Drosophila melanogaster: one gene and its partners. The protein of the gene in region 1 interacts with the protein of each later gene in a pairwise test. Each region holds a gene or a part of one and is shown on either strand. Other genes may lie near its edges. The genes, in order: CG14932, Ndf and RNF220.

Evidence for each region.
Region 2: the proteins of CG14932 (region 1) and Ndf interact in a two-hybrid assay, tested with the Drosophila melanogaster proteins (one large-scale study listed by BioGRID).
Region 3: the proteins of CG14932 (region 1) and RNF220 interact in a two-hybrid assay, tested with the Drosophila melanogaster proteins (one large-scale study listed by BioGRID).

What each region holds. Positions count from the first base shown.
Region 1 is NT_033779.5:11,788,154-11,791,572, reverse strand, and holds CG14932 (uncharacterized protein), read right to left. Parts: upstream 1,655-3,419; 5' UTR 1,570-1,654; coding exon 1,568-1,569; intron 1,515-1,567; coding exon 1,458-1,514; intron 1,398-1,457; coding exon 1,359-1,397; intron 1,302-1,358; coding exon 1,263-1,301; intron 1,204-1,262; coding exon 1,147-1,203; intron 1,091-1,146; coding exon 637-1,090; 3' UTR 562-636; downstream 1-561. Other genes in the region: Tsp33B (tetraspanin 33B), read left to right, coding at 1-22, 198-305, 361-480; CG14931 (uncharacterized protein), read right to left, coding at 2,242-2,739, 2,796-2,920, 2,983-3,031.
Region 2 is NT_033779.5:10,002,057-10,005,813, forward strand, and holds the start of Ndf (Nucleosome-destabilizing factor), read left to right. Parts: upstream 1-1,775; 5' UTR 1,776-1,990; coding exon 1,991-2,070; intron 2,071-2,253; exon of another isoform or gene 2,254-2,478; coding exon 2,479-2,515; exon of another isoform or gene 2,516-2,987; intron 2,988-3,367; coding exon 3,368-3,450; intron 3,451-3,511; coding exon 3,512-3,757. UniProt on the Drosophila melanogaster protein: Nucleosome-destabilizing factor that is recruited to genes during transcriptional activation and colocalizes with a subset of trimethylated 'Lys-36' histone H3 (H3K36me3)-enriched regions. Binds DNA (in vitro).
Region 3 is NT_033777.3:22,724,683-22,728,439, reverse strand, and holds RNF220 (ring finger protein 220), read left to right. Parts: upstream 1-2,025; 5' UTR 2,026-2,170; coding exon 2,171-3,367; 3' UTR 3,368-3,556; downstream 3,557-3,757. Other genes in the region: CG45049 (uncharacterized protein), read right to left, coding at 949-1,133.

The DNA of each region.
Region 1 (3,419 bases):
GGTCCTGGCCCTTAAGTTTCTGGTAAGTAATTGGTAATGGGCAACGTTTTAAAGTCAGAACAATGGTGAATATTGGAGCCATATTCATTAAATTCTGTCAAATTCATTAGCGTAAGTCATATTGAAATCAAAAAATTTGAATATGCAACAAAATTGTATTTTAAGATAAGACCTCCCTAAGTCAATCATCTTTTTAGATCGTGCTTTGTTGTATGACCAAGTTCATAGTTCACCGGCAGAACGAGGGCGATGGCTGCGATAATGTGGGACTCACGGACGATGATGGACATCCCTTGGTCGTGGTGGTGGGTTTATCCATTTACTATCCATCGATAGCACCTAAATCAGTCCATTCCCCAGAAATATCCGTGTAACGTGCGCTGTGTAACAATTGCCGAGGATGATCTGGTATCCGACAACGTTCCCGATATTAACTACTGCAATTGCACCGAAATGGACGACGAACCGTGTGGATACTAATATTGTGCTTAATTTTACTTTTATATTTTATATTAATTTAATTAAATTTACGAATTTGAGTTAACTTCATATCCAATCGGTGAACGCAATATATTATTTATTGGATATTATAGGATACTTATTACATGGATGTTGTAACATTGGATGTTAAATGGATTAACGGCGCATCCTCTTGGATTTCTTCAAAGTCTGACCCACCAGTTGAGCAATATGTTTGCGCAATGCCAAGAAAGGCTTCAAGCAGACGCGCTGCTCGACGAGACCCACAGCAATGCGGTGAAAGAACTCGGTGACATCCACGGGCTTGGCCAGCAGCTGACCTTGTGATACCGAGCCGTTTTCCTCTGAGGCCTCGGGCGTAGGGCTACGTGCCATTCTACGGATGAATGGTTCCAAGTTGCCCCTGCTACGTTGGGAAACGCGAGCTCCAATGGACTCTGATAGCGCATTATTGGCGCGAGAGAAGGTGAGACGCTCCTGAGATCCCGAGTCGTTTTGATCCGGAGTCTCTGGCTTCTGTATCACCAGTTCGGGTGAGGTGGGGTTTTTCTTTGGAATTTTCGGAAACTCGGTAATTTCGGTAATCTCCAAAGCACTGTGGGGACGTCTTCTGTAGAGAATCCGAACCCGTTATTCCACGTTCTACATTACGAAACTATAACTTACGGTGTACCCGCCTCATAAGTGACATATGGGGACCAGTCTGCCCCATCCAAATCCATACTAAAAGGTTCACAAAATGAAGAAAAATGATTTTGTTTTATAACATTAAATTTACTCACTCATCTTCGTTGGAACAGTCATCATCTTGATCACTTTCCCTGATTATAAGGCAACTTAAAAATAATCTATCAAAACATTATATTAAAAAGACTTACACAGAAGACTCGCAGGTAATCTCGTCACTTTCGGGAGCACTAGAAAGGAAATACATATATTGTCAGTGTTTTTCTGAAGCTAAATTAATGAAGTCTTACGTAGCTTCTTGATATTCATCATCATCGCCCACAATATGAGGAACCTTTGATTGGGACCTGCAATGAATAATCCATCAATATATTTAATGAACTGCTTTAATTTTAATTACATTTTTAACAAATTTTCAACGCCTAGCTCCTGGAAAATGACAATGTGAAAAGCCGTGCGGCCAGTGTGTCCACTCCAAGGAATGTTTAATAAGAACATCAGTGTTGATCAAAATACTGTTGAAAACTTACTGGAGCATATGTAATTAATATATAAAATTCAGTTAAAGCTCAAGTCACGTGTTCTTAACATTTAGTAAAAATAGAAATTTATACTAAAGGTTTTGGTAAATTTGAGCCTTAAAATTTTGGTTAAGTTTAGCCTTAAAATGGCAGTTAAACATAAAAAGTTTAAATTCCTATAAAAAGACGTACCAGTGTTGTACAACAGGCTTAATTTACAAACTTCCAAATACAAATGTAATTATACATATTTATGTAAAGTCAAGCCATCACAATTTAATTCCACCTTTGGAAATGTTTTTATATATTGGGTGTTCGTTTTTATTGAACTTGACATGCTTATGACTAAATAGTTAAGGAAACTGGAATTGGAATAAATACAGCTCGACCAAAAACACAAGCCACAATTATGCAATAAATTCAATCCTTTAATGTGACATATAGTTAACTTATTCGAGTACTCTTTCTTAGACATATGTGGGCTATAAACATTGTAAAATCTCTACTGCATTCGATTGGGAAACATAAACCACAAGACATGGGCGGAAATAGCCTATTCCTGGCTGATTTCATTGGCATCTGAGAAATCCGAGACGGCGACGCTGCTGGTGCTGATTAAATGTCGATCGGGCATTTCGCCGATGGAAGGAAGAGTGGTGCTATCGCTGGCGCTGGACAAAGATATCTCCTCCCAGCTGACGCCGGAGTCGCATTCGTTGCCCGGGGAAACGGGTGTGGCGTCGGCATTGTGCGGCTCATCCTCCGGTGCCTGGCCAATGCTGATAGCCGGCGTTGCTCTGGAACGTTTGCCAACTAGTTCGACGTTTTGATTGCGATCCGCAGCAATGCGCTTGCGATCGGGAATTTGATTGCCCGTGGTGGGACTCCAGTCCATGGCACGGTGCACCAAAGCCCGAAAAGTTATACGGATCGGCTCGCTCGGTGGACTGTCCATGTCTGAGGGATTTCTTCTGGACACTTGCGGCGACATGATCATCGTGGAGTTGTGCAAAGCACTGGGATGCGAAGTCAAAAAATCAGACTCGCTCTCCTGTCGACATTAATGAGAAGCTAATTACTATTTATTGTTTATTGTTAACTGAATACTTTTCCCACGTGCAGAGCCCTTTCTAGATCCTCATCCTGGGGACTGATACTAGCTGATTGCTGCACGACACTTGCTAATTCGGTCATTTCCTCAATATCCATGCCTTCCTCGTAAACGCCTGCGCCTGAGCAAATAGTTAGTTATATATGTATGTATGTTAAGGACGTCTAATTTAGAATATCTTACTTTTGAGGAAGTCAACTAATCTCCTGTTTGTTCGGCTGCGTAACTCCATTTTCAATGGGACAAAAACAACAACTTTAGTACTAATATTATGTGGTTACAATGCATTTGCTCTTGTTCTTGCTGCTAACGGAACTTTTCGCCAAACTGAAATCGTCTATAACGCCATATCGATAGTTAAGATGTGATCTCAAGTAATGGTCACACTTAGAGATGGTGCAACAAGTTTTCGAGTTGTATGTGAAAATATTAAAAACTATTTAAAAAAAAAAAAAAACGATAAGGCTCTGAAAATGTTGTGGTTATTATAAAGTGATATAAGTGATTAAGTTCTATAATGTAACTTGATAAAATTGTATATGTTTTCCTCGTAATTTAAGTCCAGTCTTTTAATTACCTCAACAAAAAGCCTTTAAACTTCGTTTGGTATTACACTTAAA
Region 2 (3,757 bases), 1.8 Mb from region 1:
TTGTCTAAGCAATTGGATCGATACGATCCACCCCAAATTATCCCTTGATAAAGTGAGTGGTTTTCATAAAAAAAAATCAAGGATAATGCAGGAAAATAATATGATAATCGGATCACTTGGAATCTACTCACTCGAATCGGAATTGGATGTAGCGCCGTTGTACATCGCCTCAGTTGAACAGCTGCAAAGATATTTTAATAGTATTACGTACAATTTTATATTATGTTTACAATAATATACCAAGTTAAGGGTCTTCAATCCAAAATGCAATCCAGTCCAATATTTTCTGAAAGTCAAATCAAATGTAAATTAGCAAACATAATTTTAGTTAGAAATAAATACATATTACTAAAATCCTACGTTCCAACTTTCAATATGCGCGAAACCGACTGAATTCCATTGGCAATCATTTCCAATATTCCAACCAATTCCAAACAACATGCTCACACACGCATACATGTACATACCCACTTGTAAACAGAGAAGCGGCTATTTTCAAAGTGTCAGCACAATTGGAAGATCGTAAACAAGAACGGAACTTGAGATTCAAGACACTTTCGTCTGGAAGTCAGAAAAAAGTTAAGTTACGACCAATAGTTCACATATAAATCTATTATACTTGAGTAAGAATAATAAATATTTGCTATTATTGGTCAACGGAACCGACTTTTTTTGCACAGCTAGAATGAAGAAGAGCAGGAAACTAATTCTTGCCTTCCAAATTAATCGATGTTTTAAGCTTTAAGATAAGCTCGATATCAACTTTTATCGGAATGGTCAGATCGGAATTTAAAAAAAAAAACTTTAATTTCTCCCCAACTCAAATTGAAACACACAAACAAATGAATGTACTTAAACCCTTTTTTTTTGCTAGCGAGTATGCGATCAAAACTAGAGAAACATATGTACGTTTTTTCCCTTATAATTGATGGCAATCTGGTCCCAATAAATCCTTCTCACCCATTTCGCGCCTGCTAATTGCCAAACAAAATGCAATAATTCAACCCAAAAGCACGCTTTCTTTTCCTAGCACAAATACAATACCCCTTTAACGGCCGCAATTTCCCTTTTTCACCCTTTTGTTTGCCAGGTCACCCGAAAAGTTTTACCGAGCAGGGTTGTCGCATGACCCCCCGCAACCCACAACCACAGCAGCAATCGCTTTTTATTCTCTTTTTATATGATTGTTTCATATTTATGAGGATTATATGGCTGATGCTGAGTGCTGAGAATCAGAGAAAAATTGAGTTGGACGTGTGGTAATTTATTTTTCGGCTAAGGGGACGGACTTGTAGTTAACTGTTAGTTTTCCGAGCTCAAGATCGCACAGATTATAAAGAATTTACTGTGCAATACTAATTAAATTTATCTTTATCATTATTTTACTTAAACGGAATTTGTATAAGCCAAAAAACAAAATTTATTAATAATCTCCAACTAAAAATGTGTATCAATGAAATTATTTTCTTATGGAATTAAATTTCAATAGTTTATGCCCGCCTTTGTATTTAACATCTAAACATTAGAATTAAATAAAGTATTTAAAAAAAAATTTAGCGTATAAAAAGCATGGATTGATTCCAAGTGCATTTTACGAATTTGCATTGAATCACGATAATAATATTCACTTGTAATACTTAATTAAATAATTTAATTCGGAACCCATATTAATTTACCGAGTTCGAGGCGGGTTGGCAGTCCGATTGCATGACGTAGCAACGCCGCCACTTTCCAGCACTGGCCGATTGCCAGCCAAAATGGCGCCCGCCTGCTATCGCATTGCTCGAGCAGATATCGGTTCGGCAGCGCATCACACACACAACGCGAAAAAAAAAAGAAAAATACGGGTGGCCTGCAAGCGAATATCTCCGAAATTCATTGAATCCCGACGCCGAGATTTGTGCTCCGATCCGAGAAACCCATTAGCTTCCGTGCACCGTCCGCCCAAGCCAGCAAAATAACCAAGTTCAACATACGCCTGGACAACATAATGTCGAAGAATAAAAAACTGTCGCTGTCGGGCGGCGATACGACGGAGAAATTTATTTACAAACCCAAGGATCTGATATGGTAAGCCGGGACCGTGGACTCATCAATATATTCGCTGTATTCTCAGCTGCGCTGCGCCGTGAAGAAACAAGAAAAAAAAAAAAACGAGAGATGAAAATCAAAGCAAACACCTAACCTCAATTGCGCACCGTTGGCGCTCGGAAAAAAAAATATGAAGAAAAAAAGAGCCAGTGAAGTGTGCATAAAAAAGCAATTAGCGCTGCCTTTTTGACAGCCACGCAGCGCAGTATCCATGTAGCTCCATCCGAATGACGACCATAATTCCGGAGCTACGTGCGTGGATTCCGGGCGCGCGACGTCGACTTCGCTGCGTTGGCGCTTTTTTCGCGCGCGCGCCCTTTTTTCTTGCTTTTCCTCCTTGCGGCCAATATGAGTTTTCCCTGTTCTGATAGCGCATTTTCTTTGCAGGGCCAAAATGAAGGGCTTCACTCCGTGGCCAGGAATGGTAAGCATTGCAGTTGGCGATCGGAATGTTTACGCCGCGTCGACGTCGCGTCGCTGCCGCCTTCTCTGCTGCCATGTTGTTGTGTTTGTTTTCGACTGTACTTTTCGATTCAACGCTGCCGGCTTCGCTGCCGCCGCTCTGCCCGCAGCCACGCACTTGCACACATTGCCCCATTGCCGTTGTGGTTGTTGTTGTTGCCGCTGTGCTGTTGTCGCTGCCGGCGGAGGAAATGGTCTCTTCCATGGAGCCGCTATCGGGGGCCACGAGCAGCAGCTTTTGATCGTGTGTACAGCCGCTGGAAAGCAGCATGTGCACTCGGAGGAGGGGGAGTGACGCGCGGCAGGCGTGGAGTTTGAACACAGACGTTGCCAAGGATATCAGTTCCCAGTTTCGTTATTCTATGCCGTTCAAAAGGAGTTTTGTTAATATATTAACTTTTATTTGACATTAACATTCTCATCGGTAATCTTGTGATATACCAATCGGTTCTTTAGAGTTTTGTGAAATGTGCTAATGATAGTGAATCACCTCAGCTAAGGTTTTATCAAATCAAATTGGTTTTGTGCAAGTTGCTAGAAAAATGAGGATATATTTTTAAATCCTTATAATTCCTAGCTCAAATGTAAAGTTAAAGAGTGGTTTTCGATTGAAATTGGAAGTGAAAAAGCAACATTTGCATATGTTTTGTTTCGTGCGTGATAAAGTCTTGTAAATGGGTTATCACAGAATAGATTAGTTCGAGGGAATTCATAGGCACATCCTTATAGAGTAAAATGCATTGTCTGCTTAAAATGTTTCTGAAGACTTTAAAGATATGATGTGGTGGAAGCTAATGTTGATTTCTCTCCTTAGATTGTCGATCCTCCACTTGATCTGCTCAGCCAGCAGCGTCGGGCGAATACCAAATGCGTGTTTTTCTTTGGATCTAGGAATTTGTAAGTAAAATGCACGCCAACCCCAAAAAGCGCCTGTAATAACATGGGTAATATTTAACAGTGCCTGGATTGAGGAGAACAACATCAAGCCCTTCGAAGGACCGTGGAAGGAGGAACTGGCCAAGGTGAGCAAGCCCGCTGCTTTCCGACACGCCATGACGGATATCGAAAAGTACATCGACGACCCCGCCGAGGTGGACGAGCAGGTGAACAAAAGCTGCGGTGCGCCGAATCACGCAACCGAGGCTGATTTTGACAAGATCCGGGATGGCCTGGACAGCGAGGAGATTGTGGGAGAGGAAGCAAC
Region 3 (3,757 bases), on another chromosome or scaffold:
TGTAGACATCAATGTAGTATGTATGTTTTGTATTAACTGACGCAATTTACAAAACAATGCGTTGGTACAGTTGAATGAGTTTGGGATTGTTTAAATTGAAATCGCTCTATTGTGCCAGACAAAAACGCGACGGAATATTTCAGTCATCATTGGGGGGCGTATTTTGGCTCAATGACAAAAGACGGAAGCTGGGGTGATGAGGTGCAGTCCCCACATAAATTATGCTGCAAGGCGGACTGCAACTAAGCATTTTGAATGCTGGAAATACCGACATGCTAATTATCCATTCGCATTCCATTGTTATACCCTAACTGAGAGTACAATAGAATAGGTCAGACTTGTGACAATTTATGTACGTTTGTAAAAAAAATATCAGCATCTTGAAATGAAATTTTGAACAAATATTATAAAACAGAGTCTTCTTATTATCGATCTTGCTCAATAGTTGCTAACAAATAGGAAGTGTATCAAAATTTCGTTAAAACTGCATATTATGCCTAATTCGCACGATTCCCTGCCAATTTTAATATCTTCAGATACGCAAACAAAGATGCATATGTTTGTGTAAGTAGATGTTGCGTCTAATGTATCTCAAGATATTTCGACGGGCTAGACGGAGATAAATATAGTTTTACATATAGCGGCTAGAAATGTGGAATAAAAACAAAAACACATTTCGCAGATGAGCGAGTACCGACTTTGTGTGTGTGAGTGTGTGTGTGTGAATGAGTGGCATGGCAACAGGATCATAACGGTTAATTGCTATATAGAACGTAACGGTAACGGCAGGCAAAATTGGGGCAAACGGCCAAATGCAAAACAACAACAATGGCAAGGGCGAGGGAATTCGTATACACGTATGTTTATATATGTGTGTGTGTGTGTTGTGTGCTATGCGGAAGAACGGAAGCAAAACAAAATGCGATCTGTTTGAGTTCAGGAATATACCTTTCCTTGTAATAGTCCAGGGTTACCGATTCGGAATCAAATTCTGAATAATCTGGCAGCGATTCGGCATCAAAGGAGCTCATTCCGCTGAGCGTGTAATTGGGCAAGACGTTCATTTTGTTGTTGTAGCCAACAAGGTTACCCTGCTGCTGTTGTTGTTGCTGCTGCTGGTACTGCTGATGCATAGTTGTTGCTGTTTTTTCTACGTTTATTTTACTATATTTGCCTTATTTAACAATATGGCACACGCACACACACTCACGCCCAGGAGAAACTGGCTGCTATATTTTTTCTCTATTCTCTTTTCGCTGCCTTTTCACACTCTCGCCGTCTGCTTTGCACTTTCGCAAAAATATGCGTCGGTTTTGGGTTCAACCTGTATGCACTTACACTCTGCTTGAAAAGCTCTGTCGCTTTTCCACTTTCACATGTTCCTCGACCACTGACTTTTCTATATAATCAAAAAATAAAAACGACGAAAATAATAATGTTTTGCTTCCCTCATAGAGCTGGAACTTAAATCGATGTTGTCTCGATACTATCGTTTTGGCTGGGCATTTCTCGATAGCGATAAAGTGCCATGGAACTATCAGTTAATTTACATTTACCGTCAAATTATTTAATTTAACGAAGAAAGGAAATTAAAATAGCTTACATTTCGGATGTTTAAACTTTTATCAAAGCGGGGGCTGTGCTTTATAAAAATTTCCTAACAGTGAGGGAGAGACACTATCTGTCACATGTTATATCGGGCATGTAAACAACGCAATCTGATAATATATATATATTGCTGTATTAAGACCAACCAGAGTAGAGTAAAAATTAAGAAATCAGTACGTTTAATTATTTTATTGTAAGACTTAAGGTCAAAAGAGTTGTTGGAATGCAAAATGCAAACTTTGAAGTTTTAATTAACACGGAATTCAAACAAATAATCAATTATTATAAAGATATTTTTAAGTGAATAAAATTTTAATTATTGCTTAAGCATATTAATCACTGTGCTTGGCGCTTTTGTAACGGTTTTACGATGTATATCGCAATGACCACTTCCACTGACACGAAAAATAACGAAATCAGTGTGACCGTTTTCCACCGTACGAGAACGTAAGAAATCGGCGTCGCGTGGCTTGGACAGAGATTATCGAACAAAACAAAATCCGACTACAGAATCTTTTAACTTCGTTTACCCTTAAGAGTCCGCGGTGGATCCGAGGAATCGATGGCTACGGACACGGTGTCCAACGGCGAGAACTTCGCCCAGCACTTGAGCAGAAACAGCGACGACGACGTGATCTGTCCCACATGCGACGTGAAGATCAAGCGCAGTCAGGTGGCCGATCACTGCCAAGTGGAGATGGAGCGATTGCACAATCCCATTAGCGCTGTCACTCCACCGACCCCAACTAGCGGAGCAACCGCGTCCGAGGAATCCGGTTCGGTATCGGGGGGCAGACAACCGTGGAGCGTGTTCCAGCGGGTGCAGCGCAATCGGCAGGCCCGTCAGCGCCAGCGCACCAGGAAGCGTCCGGCTTCTCCTGCCCCACCAGCAACTGTAAATCCTACGGTAGCAGCTGCTCCTCCTCCAGCTGCAGCAACTCCGTCCGTAGCTGCTGCCGAATCGAGCCAACCCACCTGTCCCGTGTGCAACCACAACTTTCCGCAGTCCAACATCCAAGAGCATGTTAATCATTGCCTGCGCCAGAGCCGCCGCAATGGTCAGGCCAATGGTGAGCGGCATTCGAGTGAGGACTCGGAGGACAGCGAGGAATATGAAGAGTACGAGTGGGCGGGACAGAAGCGCATTCGCGTCTCCACTCTCGTGCAAGGAGGCTATTCCGCCCTGGGCCTGGGCCAGAGAATCAAATACAATGGCAGTCAGCAGGCGCAGGACGACGAGGACGAAGATCTCAACGTGGACGAGGATGACACTCACATCTATGGTCCTACGCAGTATGGCGAGGGCGATGTGATCCCACTGGTCAACGAGGACACAGAGGGAAATGTTTCCGAGGCGGATGTTACCAGCTACGTGCGCCGACTTATCTCCTCCAGCGATGGGCCCAAGCCAAACCATTCCAGCGAAGCCACCGAGCAAGAGCCTGCCAGCACAAGCAACGTGGAGGCTCCACCAGCCAGCGAGGAGCCGTCTACGTCGCGGTCCACGCGATCCACCTCCCAAAACCAGCAGCAGATCATCGAATCGCTGAAGGCCAAGCTGCGGCTCTACGAAAAGCAGGCGCAGGGCAAGTACAAGTGCCTGATCTGCATCGACGACTACAAGAATCCCGCCATCTCCGTGTCCTGCTGGCACGTCCACTGCGAGCAGTGTTGGTTGCAGACGCTCGGCGCGCGAAAGCTGTGCCCGCAGTGCAACTCGATTACCACGCCGAAGGACCTGCGACGAATCTACCTGTAGACGTCCATCACAGACTTGTTATCCCCGCTGCCAAATTGCTTGCGCCATAAAACAGGCTTTGCATCCCGACGCAGCTTTAGATGATAATCCCCTATACATATTATTTATATAGATTACAAATACCAATTATACTACGTGACATTACAATAAGCCTACCATGTAACTATTGCAATAAACCGCAGAAAACATAATTAATATTTAAGTTTATTTAACGAAATTAGCATGTAGGAAGGGAAAAGCGTTTAAAGACATGCAAACAAGTTATTTTAAATACCTTATTTTGAACTAAAATAAAAAAGCAATCAATCCAATATTATATCCAATATTATTTTCGAATCACAAAAATGATAAATTATTCCACTATAATTTACAAATGTTTCATTTTAAGTA